4 linked regions of the Arabidopsis thaliana genome follow. The protein of the gene in region 2 interacts with the protein of the main gene of each other region in a pairwise test. Each region holds a gene or a part of one and is shown on either strand. Other genes may lie near its edges.

What was found.
Region 1: the proteins of AGL52 (region 2) and AGL39 interact in a two-hybrid assay, tested with the Arabidopsis thaliana proteins (one large-scale study listed by BioGRID).
Region 3: the proteins of AGL52 (region 2) and AGL55 interact in a two-hybrid assay, tested with the Arabidopsis thaliana proteins (one large-scale study listed by BioGRID).
Region 4: the proteins of AGL52 (region 2) and AGL56 interact in a two-hybrid assay, tested with the Arabidopsis thaliana proteins (one large-scale study listed by BioGRID).

What each region holds. Positions count from the first base shown.
Region 1 is NC_003076.8:9,544,710-9,548,114, reverse strand, and holds AGL39 (AGAMOUS-like 39), read right to left. Parts: upstream 1,569-3,405; 5' UTR 1,483-1,568; coding exon 562-1,482; downstream 1-561.
Region 2 is NC_003075.7:6,847,617-6,851,117, reverse strand, and holds AGL52 (AGAMOUS-like 52), read right to left. Parts: upstream 1,541-3,501; coding exon 551-1,540; downstream 1-550. Other genes in the region: TOPP7 (Calcineurin-like metallo-phosphoesterase superfamily protein), read right to left, coding at 2,086-2,103, 2,187-2,399, 2,576-3,135.
Region 3 is NC_003070.9:22,429,146-22,432,115, forward strand, and holds AGL55 (AGAMOUS-like 55), read right to left. Parts: upstream 1,217-2,970; 5' UTR 1,123-1,216; coding exon 547-1,122; downstream 1-546.
Region 4 is NC_003070.9:22,409,973-22,412,703, forward strand, and holds AGL56 (AGAMOUS-like-56), read left to right. Parts: upstream 1-1,602; coding exon 1,603-2,208; downstream 2,209-2,731. Other genes in the region: MEE9 (maternal effect embryo arrest 9), read left to right, coding at 15-255; AT1G60890 (Phosphatidylinositol-4-phosphate 5-kinase family protein), read right to left, coding at 2,480-2,731.

The sequences.
Region 1 (3,405 bases), on a different chromosome or scaffold from region 2:
CAAAAACAAAGTTTATTTATTCTCTATCAAAAACAGAGTTTGATCTGCTAATTTTAATATACAAATTGTAAAATATATGATTACCTTAAAGAAACTATAAAATTAATTACTAATTCGAAAAATGATTATAGTTACTTTTTTAATAAAATGTTGGTATAAATATGTTCATCTAATCTACGTTACATACATAATCTTAAATTAATCTCAAGTACTCTGTTCAAAGTTCAAACACATCACCTAACAAGATGACCATTAAGGAATCAAAAAGTGTTCAGCTAAAGGCTAAAACTCATGTAAAATTACAAGCAAAAGCTCCAAAAACTGTGTTCTTCTTTTCTGAGAATCCAAATTCAAATCACTAACTTGAATTTAACATCAACAAACTAGTAAGTGGAATTGCAAAACTGATTCAAACAATTTACTTTCAACTTCGAAAGGGTTCACATCAGAGTATCAAACAATAAAGGAAAAAAGGTTTACAAAAACTTAAATTGGATCAAGAATCTCTGTTTACAATGAGACAAAATCAGAACAAGTTCTGAAGATTACAACCACATCATATCAGACATGACGTCTAAAGTCGGAATCTCCGAAGTTGATCATTGCATTGGTGTTATCGAGACCGAAGTAGCTGTTTAGACCAAACACATCATCGTTGGATAGATCATTCCAAAAGCAGATCTCATCATCCAAATTGACATTGGCCTCTGTTTGTGTTTCTTGTAGTAGTAGATTGATTTGGTTAATCTCTTCCTCTGTTTCAAATCCTTGGATCTCGGAGCTAGGGTTTTGATCAAAAGAAGCAACTTGTGAAGATGATTCTCCACAGATCTGATAGAGAGAGGAGTAACAGTCCTGATCAAAAGACGGAGACGAGAGGTTAGGGTTTTGATCGCCATGGAAAGAAGAAAAGGTTTGATCGCTGCAATACTCGTTGACAGAGTTTGGAGTAAAAGTAGAAGCAATTTGCGAATAAGAAGATCCATCACAATCCTCGACGTCGAGAGAACAAGTACTATTAGGGTTTTGGTCGAAACTAGAAACAAGTTGAGATTTTTCTTCCTTCTCAAGGCAAGCCATCACATGCTTCTTCATTCTCTGTAAACGATCCTCGATAATGCTTAACTCAGAGAGATCATCACACGAATGGTAGAGATCAGGGTCTTCCCACCAAAATCCTAGTTTGGATCCGGCCGGGTTAACAATCTTGGGTGGAGGCTTGCGATTTAGGTAACAATCAGCGATTTCGTAGGCAGAGGAGTAACCGGAGAAGGAATAGACAACATCGGAACTATCGGAGGGAGAGGTTACGAAGACGGCGATGTTAGCACCGGAGATAAGACAGAGATCGGCGGCTTTGGAAAAAACAGTTTGACGGCGTTTAGAGCAAGTCACGGCTCGTTGCTCTTTGGTTTCTCGTTTCTTTATTTCGATTTTGCGCTTTGTTCCTTTCTTCATCATCGTGGAATCAGATGAAGGCATAATGTTTCTTACGGAGAGACAAATAGACACAGAGAAAAAGTGAAAAGAGAGAGTAGAAGCAAGATAGATATATTACCCATATTTATAGATGTAATAGCCGCCTGAGTTATATATGTCAAACTTAATTAGGTCTTGTTGTTTTCCTTTTACTGCCCAACTTTATTTCTATGCATTTAACGTTTTTTTTCTTTCCTACTAAAACGTTTTAGAGATTTCTTTTATTACAACAATAGCAGAAAAAAATTATTACTACTATAAACAATTAAACATATATATTGGATATTCAAAATTATCTAAATATTAGATTTTAACCCGCGTTATACCGTAGAAATAATTTATTTTTTTAAATCAGTATATATAAAAGTTTGCAAATTATATCTATCTATAAAATAAAAATATTTTATAGTTTACAATTGTTATTAAGTAACGTTCTTTCAAACCCGTTCCGCCAAACTCGTCCCGTAAAAAAACCCAGTGGTACACCGTTAATTTAAATATATAATTAAAATAAATATTTTACGGGATTGCAATTGTATTTTAGTTTGTCAAACAAATTTTTTTAAAAATATTTGTCGAAATCTAATTCAAATTTTGGAGAAATTAGATTTAGTGAATTGATAAGAAATGTATTTAGGTGCATTTTGCTCATTTTAAGGGATTGCAATTGTATTTTGGTTTGTCAAACATTTTTTGTTTTAAATAGTTACCGAAATTTAGTTCAATTTTGGAGAAATCTGCGTGATATATGGGATTAGAATATATTTGGAATTTTTTTTGCTTGTTAATTAATTTATTGCAAAAAAAACAATAATTAAAAGCTAGTGGCAGCCATTATAAATAAGTTCCAACTCTAAGATTTATTTCACAAAATGGCGGCAAAAATGTATATGTAGATTTAGTTACCTATAATCAATGTTCAAAAAATCGTTGTACGGTAGCTAGACGTTCGATAGATGTCTAGGCTATTTTTTTGAACATTACCTATAATAAGTACATAAAACACTATATATTAAACTTTTTCGCGGCAACTAAATCTAATAATACTAAATCAACAGTCACTTTTAAAAAAACTGTAAGCTTCTCATTTTGACACGTATGCTTTAAGTCTAAAATTTTGCACTTCCACAATCGTAAACCAATTCACTTCCTTTTACTATTCAATAGAATATTCTTTTTTGACAAAAGATAAATTTAAATTTTTTTAACCACTTTTTCAGCAACTACTTCTTCCACGTTATTAAGATTCTTTACTTTCTCTCCCATCTTTCAAACCCTCTGCCAGTTAATTTACGATCTCAAGAGCAACCGTATAAGCCATTCTCAAGAAGATAAAAACAGGTTTAAATTCTTCTTCTTCTTTCCTTTCTCATAATCTTAGATCCTCCATTCTTTCATCTAAATACGTCTACCAGAGAAACGAAAGAATGACGTAAATAATGAAAGTTGAGACTTTTGTGATACCTAATGTGATGGACGCTGTTAACCCCTCACGACTCACTGAGTTTGGTCCACCCAATCGCTGGTATGAATATCAATAAACCTTTGGCCGTTTTGTTGCGTTTTACTTGGTCTTATCTTCTTACATTTTCCATGCACACCCGCTGCTACAAAATGACCACATGAGTTTGCGAGAATCATATAGAAACAAAATGGATGCAAATGTTTTGGGGCTTTCAATTCAGAAAAAGAAGAAGAAGAAGAAGAAGATAACCAAATTGAGAGATGGGTGGCATGACATGACATCTTCTTCCACGGTGTAGTGTGCAAAATAATTTAAATGTGAAACCATCTTATATGTTCAAGTTTAGAAAAGCGTTTTGGTTAGAAGGTAATTCATTTCTCCATCATTATTATTGTTAAGTTTTTTGAGAAGAAAAAACGGCTCTGTATATATATATATATTTTTTTCTATATATCTATGAG
Region 2 (3,501 bases):
AGGATTTGAAATGAACATGTTAAGCTATCATCAACACTCATCAATGCACCAGCATTGTCAAACTCGCCACAGTAATTGGGTGCAGAGAATTTGTCTTCACGAAATCAGAGCTACTTTCCATCTTCATGTATATATTAGCTGATTCAGACAAGAAGGATACTAAGTTACAAGTTTGTTATAAGATGCAAGAGTAAAGGATTTCACTTTGCAGGTTGTATCAACCAATTGAAACAGTCTTGTCACCATAAGTGATTTTAGATTATAATTTGTTTCATGCAAGTTTTTGTGAAAGACTTTTATGGAAGTTCATATATATATATATATATATATATATAATACTAACTGAAATACCAACTTAAAAGTAAAAACAAAATCTCCACAAATGGATCTGTTTTACAGTTATAACAACACTGTAAAATAAAAAAAGACAGTAGCAGGAAGAATTCAGAAGCAAAAACAGCTTCAATCTCTCTCTGATCAGCTTCCTACTTATAAGTATTGACTGACTCTTAATGAAGCTTCAAAAAACAAATCCTTTTGGACAGATTTGTTAGCAGAGAAGTCTTGAGTTGTCAGAAAAACAATAGCTGTTAGGAATGTTGTGGAGAGGTGGCAGAGAAGATGTCTGTAGCAAACTGCTCCCATCATAGCTCGAAAACATATCTTGAGAGAAGCTAGTGTTACCATAAGGGAATTCATGTGGAACAGTGTTTGAGAGATTAGGATGTTGTAAACCGTTGTTGTTATTGATGATTTCACTCATCATACACAAGTTCTGATCAAAACCATGAAGCTGATCCTGTTGCTGCATCAAGTGATTATTCAACCCGTAGTTATTCGCCGAAAGTAACGGTGAGTAGTCTTGTGTGTTTGACACGCCAGGATGTTGAAAGTTGTTGTTGTTGGTGATGTTGTCCAAACACATGTTCTGACCAAAACCATGCTGCATCTGGTAATTGATGAGTTGATTGGATTGTGAAGCAGACAGTGGGAGTTGTGAGAGAGTAGCATCTCCATGGTTGTACATATACAGCGAGAACTTGCTAGGATCCAAGTGTTGTGTCTGGTTCAGATACGATGGTGTTAAACTCTGATGCACCAAGTTTGTGTTCTGTTTTTTCTGCGACTCAACAATACGAAGCCTTTTTTGGAGAGTAGAAAGTGTTCGTTCTAAGGACTGAATCAATTGAGAGAGTTGTTGAGGAGAGTAATGATCAAAGTTTGGATACCAATTAGGGTTCTTCACATAATTCGTCTTCCCCTTATACTTGTCTTTGTCCTTCACCTTCTCTTTCTCGAGGAACTCATGAAGATTGAGGCACTTCTTGCGTTTTCTGTCCTCTTTATACCTCAAAGCCATATTTTTCACTGTCTCTCTATCCTTAGGCCATGTTCTCAGATCACCGTCTGGTCCGTAATAGATGACGCAAACGTCAATAGCACAGAGAATCGAAAGCTCTTCTGCTTTCTTAAAGATTGTTTTAAGTCTGTTTGTTAAACTTGTTGGATTACATGACGAAGAAGAAGAAGCTTGCTTCATCGTGATTTTGCCTTGATTCGCCAAGCAAGAAACTAGGGTTTTTTTTTTCTCCGACAGAGAGATAACACACAAAGAAGAAGCAGAATTGTGGAATTGATGGTGAAAGATTGTGAAACTTCACTCAATATGTTTATATAGATTGCCTTGGTGCCTACGGGAACAAGCATACGCGTCGGCGACGCGTGAAGAAGATAAAAGCAGTATCTATCCTCAAATCTAGGTTACCTCTTCTCTTATTATTTAGCTTATAGTATATATTACGTCAAATAAGATAATTGTTTTTCAAGTTTCATTTTATTATTTTTATAAATTTTACGTTTATGTTTTTAGAATATGTTTCTAAAAGGTTAGTTGTATAAAACCCAACTTTCTTCAGTTGAAAATGCTGTGAACATCTTCCACAATTTTTACAAAAAAAATCTAAACAAAACATAATGTTGCCTCAACCATAAGAAAACAGATAACAATCTAACAAAACAAACTGTTTGCCTTACAAAATTCGAACCCGTCGGTTTCACTCGTTTCTTGAACCCATCGACGACGAGTTAACGACCTTTTCCACCCTGCAAGAATGTTAACATATCAAACCTGATATCTAACATCTACCTACATTGCATCTATATACAGGGGGATAGTATTTTCACACCTTATGAGGTGGGGTTCCTGGTCTAGGAACATTGTTGTTGAATCCAAATCTTCCTTTCTTCTCAGATGCCTTAAGGATTTGGAATGAACATGTTAAGCTATCATCAACACTCATCAATGCACCAGCATTGTCAAACTCGCCACAGTAATTGGGTGCAGAGAATATTGTCACTAGTTGTCTCTTTGCAAAGAACTCGTATCCATCTTCTACAACCTGCAGGAACAGTATAGTTAAGTAAAACTTGGCTTGGTGAAAAAACTACAGATCCTTGCATTAACAACTGAGTTATGATTTCTTAACCCTCTGAATTCAGAGAACAGTCACAGAGAAGAACAAACCAATCCAGAGAAATCAAAAGAGAGAACTCAAGGAATAAATTTTAGCTTTACCTGATGAGCTCGGCATATAAGATCAAGGTCATGAGTTTGAAGGAACTCAGCTACTTTGTCAGCCCCAAATGTATAAGAGACACCTCTGTCATTCTCCCCCCAGCCTTGAATCTCTCTGTCAGGATCAGCCCACAACAAATCACAAAGAATGCCCTGATCAGGAACGTCAATAGGACGAGGAATTCTCCTGATGTCATCTAAGCTCTTAATATCAGGCGATAGTCCACCATGCATGCAGAGGATCTTATCATCAATGAGAGCAGAAACAGGCAGACAGTTGAAGCACTCGGTGAATGTTTTCCATAAGCGAACATTATATCTTCTTTTGCATTCATCGTAGAATCCATATACACGGTTGATTGAAGCACATTCGTGATTGCCTCTGAGAAGAAAGAAGTTGAACTTGTATTTGACCTTATAGGCAAGAAGAAGGCATATCGTCTCTATGCTCTGCTTACCACGATCAACATAATCCCCAAGAAACAAGTAGTTCGCAGCTGGTGGATAACCACCATACTCAAACAACCGCAAGAGGTCTGGAAACTGACCATGAACATCTCCTGCTCATCAACATATAAACTTAAAACCATCAACAAAATTACAAATCATACAGTTATGATAGCAACAGAAGGGTTTAATATCTATCATACACCAAATTCAGCAACTAAACAAAACTATTAGCTATCAAATGAAGTAATAAGTCAAGCGAGATACCAACAACTGCTTATGCAACAGAGCTAAGGGACCATGGTTCCTCAAAGACACAAAAGTAAGAGGTCACTACTCACAATTCCGCAAGAAACACTAACTTAAAGTGGCAGAGCATTTAACTAATTCACAACATACACATCTTCAACCATTTCAATGTACACTTATATCCCAAAAATCTAAGCTTTAAGCTTCCCAAACAACAAACTTACAAAGCT
Region 3 (2,970 bases), on a different chromosome or scaffold from region 2:
AATAGTTACATGTCTTAGAATGAAACATTCCCTGCGATCTAATGGATAAGTTTATGGATAGGTTTAGTTACGATTATAGCAGCAATAATATATGGGAAAACTAGCTTCATGGACACAGAGACCAGCACTCATCTTCAAAAGAACACAACATGAGTTTCTCAAATCCTCTTTCTCTATCTCCAGTGGAATTACACACTACTGTACCAAGCCACCACGAGGCCGAGACAGAGCCAACAGAGTTCGAGAAGAATCAGAAACGGTACAAAGACCTAATCGCCACCTTTCTTCATACCAAAGGCTGGACAACTGACTTGTTTGCTAATAAAATCGACAATGAACCTTTCTTTTGTTATTTAATTAAATGTATTTCAGTCTCAATCAAACTGAACAAAATTTTGGTTTTATATTAGTAGCTTTTTTTTTTCCCAAACCAAAACACCGAAAAAATCCAAAAAATAATAATGCACAGCTAGATTAGATAATAGCCTAAATAAACAAGACATGATGATTAAGTAAGTTGGTTAAATCAAAGGATCAATGTTGAAATCAGTAATAACGATCATCAATGTGTAGATTATCCACTACGTTCTTTAACAAACTTGCAGAAGCGGAAGTTTCACCTTCGAGTTTGGTAATTTGATTTGTGTCTTTGTAGCCAAGCTGAAGAACCTCCTCATCCTCCTGATGAATCACTAAACTTCCATCTCTTTGATTGCTCTTCACGGCATCATCTAATCGTAGCCTCACATTGTTCAACATCCTCGAAACCGCATCGACTGCCTCTTTCAACTCGTCGACGTTCTCCAATCTGTCAAAGGCTTGGTCTTCCCACCAAAACCCTAACCCTGATCTGTTATCTTGGTTTGTGGGAAGAGATGGATGCTGATTGTGAAGGAGAGAGGAGACAACGTGATCGACAGAGGAATGACCGAAAGAGTAGAAAGAAGCATGGGAGTGGGAAGAAAGAGGAGTTGCTAAGATTGCGATTTGAGTCCCCGGAGAGAGGAGACAGAGCTCTGAAGCTTTGTGGAAGAGTCCGCTTTTGCGTTTTGTGAAAGCAACTGCTCTCACGTTCTTATCTTCGATTCTCTTCATCTCTATCTTTCTTTTTGTGCCTCCCATATTGAAACTTCAAAGGAAGAAAGCCAAATTACAGACAGAGATTGTTTGAAACTTGTAGAAAGCTAATTACACAGAAAGACAGAGATTGTTTTCATCGTCCTCTCTTTATACTAGTGTACTCTCTTCCCATATCTCAACTTTTTACATTATTGATTCATTCTCTATTAAGAAAATTTCCATAATGGGTTGTTTCCTTTTGTTTTTTTTTGGCAAAGGGGTTGTTTCCTAAGATTACCTTTTTTTGGAACTATTTTGGTAAAATACATAAGAGTACTACTCTTTTCTACTTGTTTTTCCTTTTTTTATGTTCACATTCTCTCATATGCCAAAACCCTAACCTTAGAGACGGTTTCTTGCGCGACAAGAGACACTCTATATCGTCTCTTTCCTCTGTTTGTCGAGTGGCTAAGATGCGATTATGGACAGAGGAGTCGTTGAAACTAATATTTGGTAGAGGTTATTAAATAGTTCGCAGTGGAGACATTTAGGGGTCGTGAATTGAGATTATAAGATAACCCATTGAAACTAGGGTTTTGCAATTACACAAATTTAAATATGAGGAAAATTTGACACGTGATACCGAAAGGATGATTTGAATTGCATGAGTATATAAATAGTTGCAGAATATGACATATTAACAATAGTTCATGGGACATGGTGGATTAGGTGTAAAGGTTTATTTAACCTAACCCTAAATCACACCCCGGTATGGGCAAATATGTTGCTTGACAGATGGTATTGAATTACTATTTTTGCAAATGTAAATGATTTCTATAGCTTCTTAATTTTTTAGTTTGTTTGGGTCCTTTAAAGTTTATGAACGTGTTATTTTTTGTTCTTCACTACCTTTTTGTGAGACTGACTCGCACTCCAATCGGGATCATCATCTTCTGCTACATTCGGATTAACGTTCTCGTCTCTTCTCCTCTTCCCTGAACCGGGACGGGTTTTGTAGTGGTCGTTGATGGTTGAATCTATGGTTTCCAATAACCGATCTCCGTATTTGCTCACCTTGGCTCTGTTTAGAGTTTAAAACACCAAAATCCCCCGAGTTTTCTTCATACCTTTGGTTATACAAAGAGAGAGAGTAGCGTTCAAAAAGCTTCAAGATACTTACTTTCCTAGACCATTGATATCAAGGAGTTCCTCTTTGGTTCTGGGAAGTCGTTTACTTATCTCTTTAAGCGTCGCATTGCTATAAACACACAAGGATTTTTCTATTACTTATGATCTGAGAAAGAAACTGAAAATATCATTAAATGGATCGTCAACTTACCCGAATATATGATATGCCATGACTAAATCTGGCGATTCTTTGACAATATCAGTCCGAAGATTTTTCAAGGCTGTCAACAAAATGCCGGAGAGATTCTAGACCGACATTGAGAAAAAATAAGCAGCCTTTAGCAATTTAGAGTGGTGGTTTTTAATCTTTGAGCAATAGATAGAAACAAGGATACAAGAAGATATACCGAATCTTGTGGGGCAGCTTTTGCCATTGGAAGGGTAGTTTGCTTAAGTGGAACTTTTGCTGGATTTGCTGTGGATTTGCTCTGCTTTGACACTTTTATGGTCGAAGGAAATCTGTAAGAGATATGCAAGTCTTAGCTAAAACTAACCTTTTTCAAAACGAATAAACATATAACCAACTCTATTAGCTCGCTCAAGAATATAGAACTACTGAAGAGCAGCAATAACATTGCAGTAAGAACAGGTAGATTTCAGAACATTTCCCAACGTTTGAGCTACTAATGACATCAATTTGGTTGCAAGTAGTTTATGTGAACATAAAAGAAAGATATATCTCGAGTGTAAAGTCAAACCTCATTGTTATACTCTGGCCTCCAG
Region 4 (2,731 bases), on a different chromosome or scaffold from region 2:
TATGGTTTCTTCAGGGATATGGAGTGGGGGATGGAGGAGTATAGGCGGACGTTGGAGGAGATGGAGAGGATGGAGGCGGCGGAGCTGAAAGAGCTTGAGGAGAAAGCGGAGACTGCTCGGAGAACGGGGAATTTAATGGAGAAAGCGGCGACAGTTGCCGCGAAACGACATATTGCGGCGGCGATGGGATCAGCCGCCGCGTCTATGAGATCAGCTTGGAAGACTGCAGCTGGAAATAAGGTTCATCCATCTTGATCGATGATGATGATGATGAATATGATAAGATGACGATGATTGTCAAAGTATTGGTCCCCATGTTATAGGATTAGTAGGTCAAGAACATTTTAATGAATAATTATTTCCTTTGATAAACATATGGGTTACTACTTACTATTGCCGAAGAATTATGAATTATAGGTAGTTTCTAGTTTATGTATCTGTAATTTGTAATCAATATATATTTATGGGATTATAGGAAGTCGTAAAATGTGGTACTAGTTTATTGGTTTGATGGTAGAACAGAAAAAAAAAAAAAAAAATTGGTGGGACACCTAAAAGTACGAAAAAATTACATAAAAAATATGCGTCATTCGGTTTTAGAAAGAAAGATATGTATGTGATGTTGTTATTCTATTATGCGGAAGCATTAAAGTTTGGGTGATTTAGTGACAAATTTGTCATAGAATCGACACATAGATCAGAATTGAGACAACGAACGAAAATCAACTATAAACCACCGTTTAAGTGCCCTTTCGGTTTCGACAAAAAAATGTGCCATTTCGGCTGATCTCTCGAAGCTTTATCTCTCCAAAATGTTTACATATGGCGCTTATGGAAAAGCAGAAACACGCTTATGTTCCATCAAACCAATAAACTAGTACCACATTTTACGACTTCCTTATAATCCCAAATATACTGTATATTGATTACAGTATACAAATTATTTTTACTCTAAAATGGTGCGTATCACAATACTCACCAAAAGAAAAGATCATTCATTAACACCAAATGATTAACAAATTAACAACAATGCCTAAAATGTCTCCACCGCGAACTATTTATATAATCTCCGACCAAGACTGCGTTGGCAAACTATCCGTCTTCGACGCTCCTCTGTTCATCAGATACCATATTTCTTGGCCCGCAAGAAATTATCTCTAGGGTTAGGGTTTTCGCAGATGGGTCATGGAATAAATGCGGTAATGCAAGAGGTTTTGGATTTGGGTTTACAATACTGTAAAAAAAATTATCTTCGCTCCAAAAAGTGAACCAAATAAAATTAGATTTGTTTGTTTTACTTTTTTCCTCCACGGGAAAGTAAATATATTAGTTCATTAAGAACACCACAAAAGAAAGGAAAAGAGTTCTCTACCTTTGTGTATTTTTTTTTCTAATTTTTTGCTAAGAGATTTTAGGAAAATAGTTAAAGAAAGGTAATATTAAAAAACATCTCAGATTATGGAAATTCTCCGAATATGGAATAAGACCAATAATGGGGAACATGCAATTAATTATGAAGAATAAATAAAATGTACTATAAAGAGAAGAATCTCTGTCTGTCTGTCTGTGTAATTGGGGTTTCTTTCTTGCAAGTGTTTCAACATGGGAGGCAAAAAAACAAAGATTGAGATTAAGAAGATCATAAACAAACCCGCAAAAACGGTTGCTTTCACAAAACGCAGGGAAGGTCTCTTCCGCAAAGCTTCACAGCTTTGTCTCCTCTCTCCAGCCACTCAAATCGCAATCTTAGCGGCTCCTATGACTTCCAAATCTCACGCTTCTTTCTACTCTTTCGGTCATTCCTCTGTCGATAACGTTGTCTCCTCTCTGCTTTATGACCATCCTCCTCTTACGGCAAACCAAGACAACAGGTCAGGGTTAGGGTTTTGGTGGGAAGACAAACGTTTTGACGTATCGGAGAACGTTGAGGAGTTAAAAGAGGCGGTCGATGCTGTTTCGAGGATGTTGAACAATGTGAGATGCCGATTAAATGATGCCGTGAAGAGTACTCAAAGAGATGGAGGTTTAGAGATTCTTCATCATCAGGAGGAGGAAGTTCTTCAGACTCGCAACGACGAGACAAAGACGAATCAAACTCACGAATTTGAAGGCGGCGAAACTTCTGGTTCTGCAAGTTGGTTAGAGAACGAGGATGATATTCTTCACTTTGATGATGATTTTTATACTGGTATTGATCCTTTGTTTTGATCAACTTATTTTATCATCTAATCTATTACTGATGCACTTGTTTGGATTTTAAGAGTGGCACAAATCTACTCAATAATAATAATATACGAAAACTTTTTCAAGTATATAAGATCCTAAATGTTAGTGTACATAAGGGCGAAAGAAGATTACGAGCCAAATCCCTCAGAGTCTTTTTATGGCTTATGAACAGGAAAGAATATTATCGGTCGAGTCAAATCATGGAACCTTTCATCTTTAGGAAGATCAATGGTCCGTTGATATCTCTCTCTCTCTATGCTTTTTCTGGGAATACCTTAAGGAGGAAATCGATGAATCGTTTAGAGTAAAGTGTAGGCTCGATGGCTGAAATTGTCATTGGATCATATTTCATAGATTTGCAAGTATGTTCCACTTTCTTCTTCATGTTGTACTCTTGGAGGATGTCAATGATGCCCATGTATACAACCACATCATATACTTCAAAGAGCTCGACCGTTCCTGATTCCTCGTTGTCTTGGCCGAGTTTGTGGTGGGCTTGAGCTGG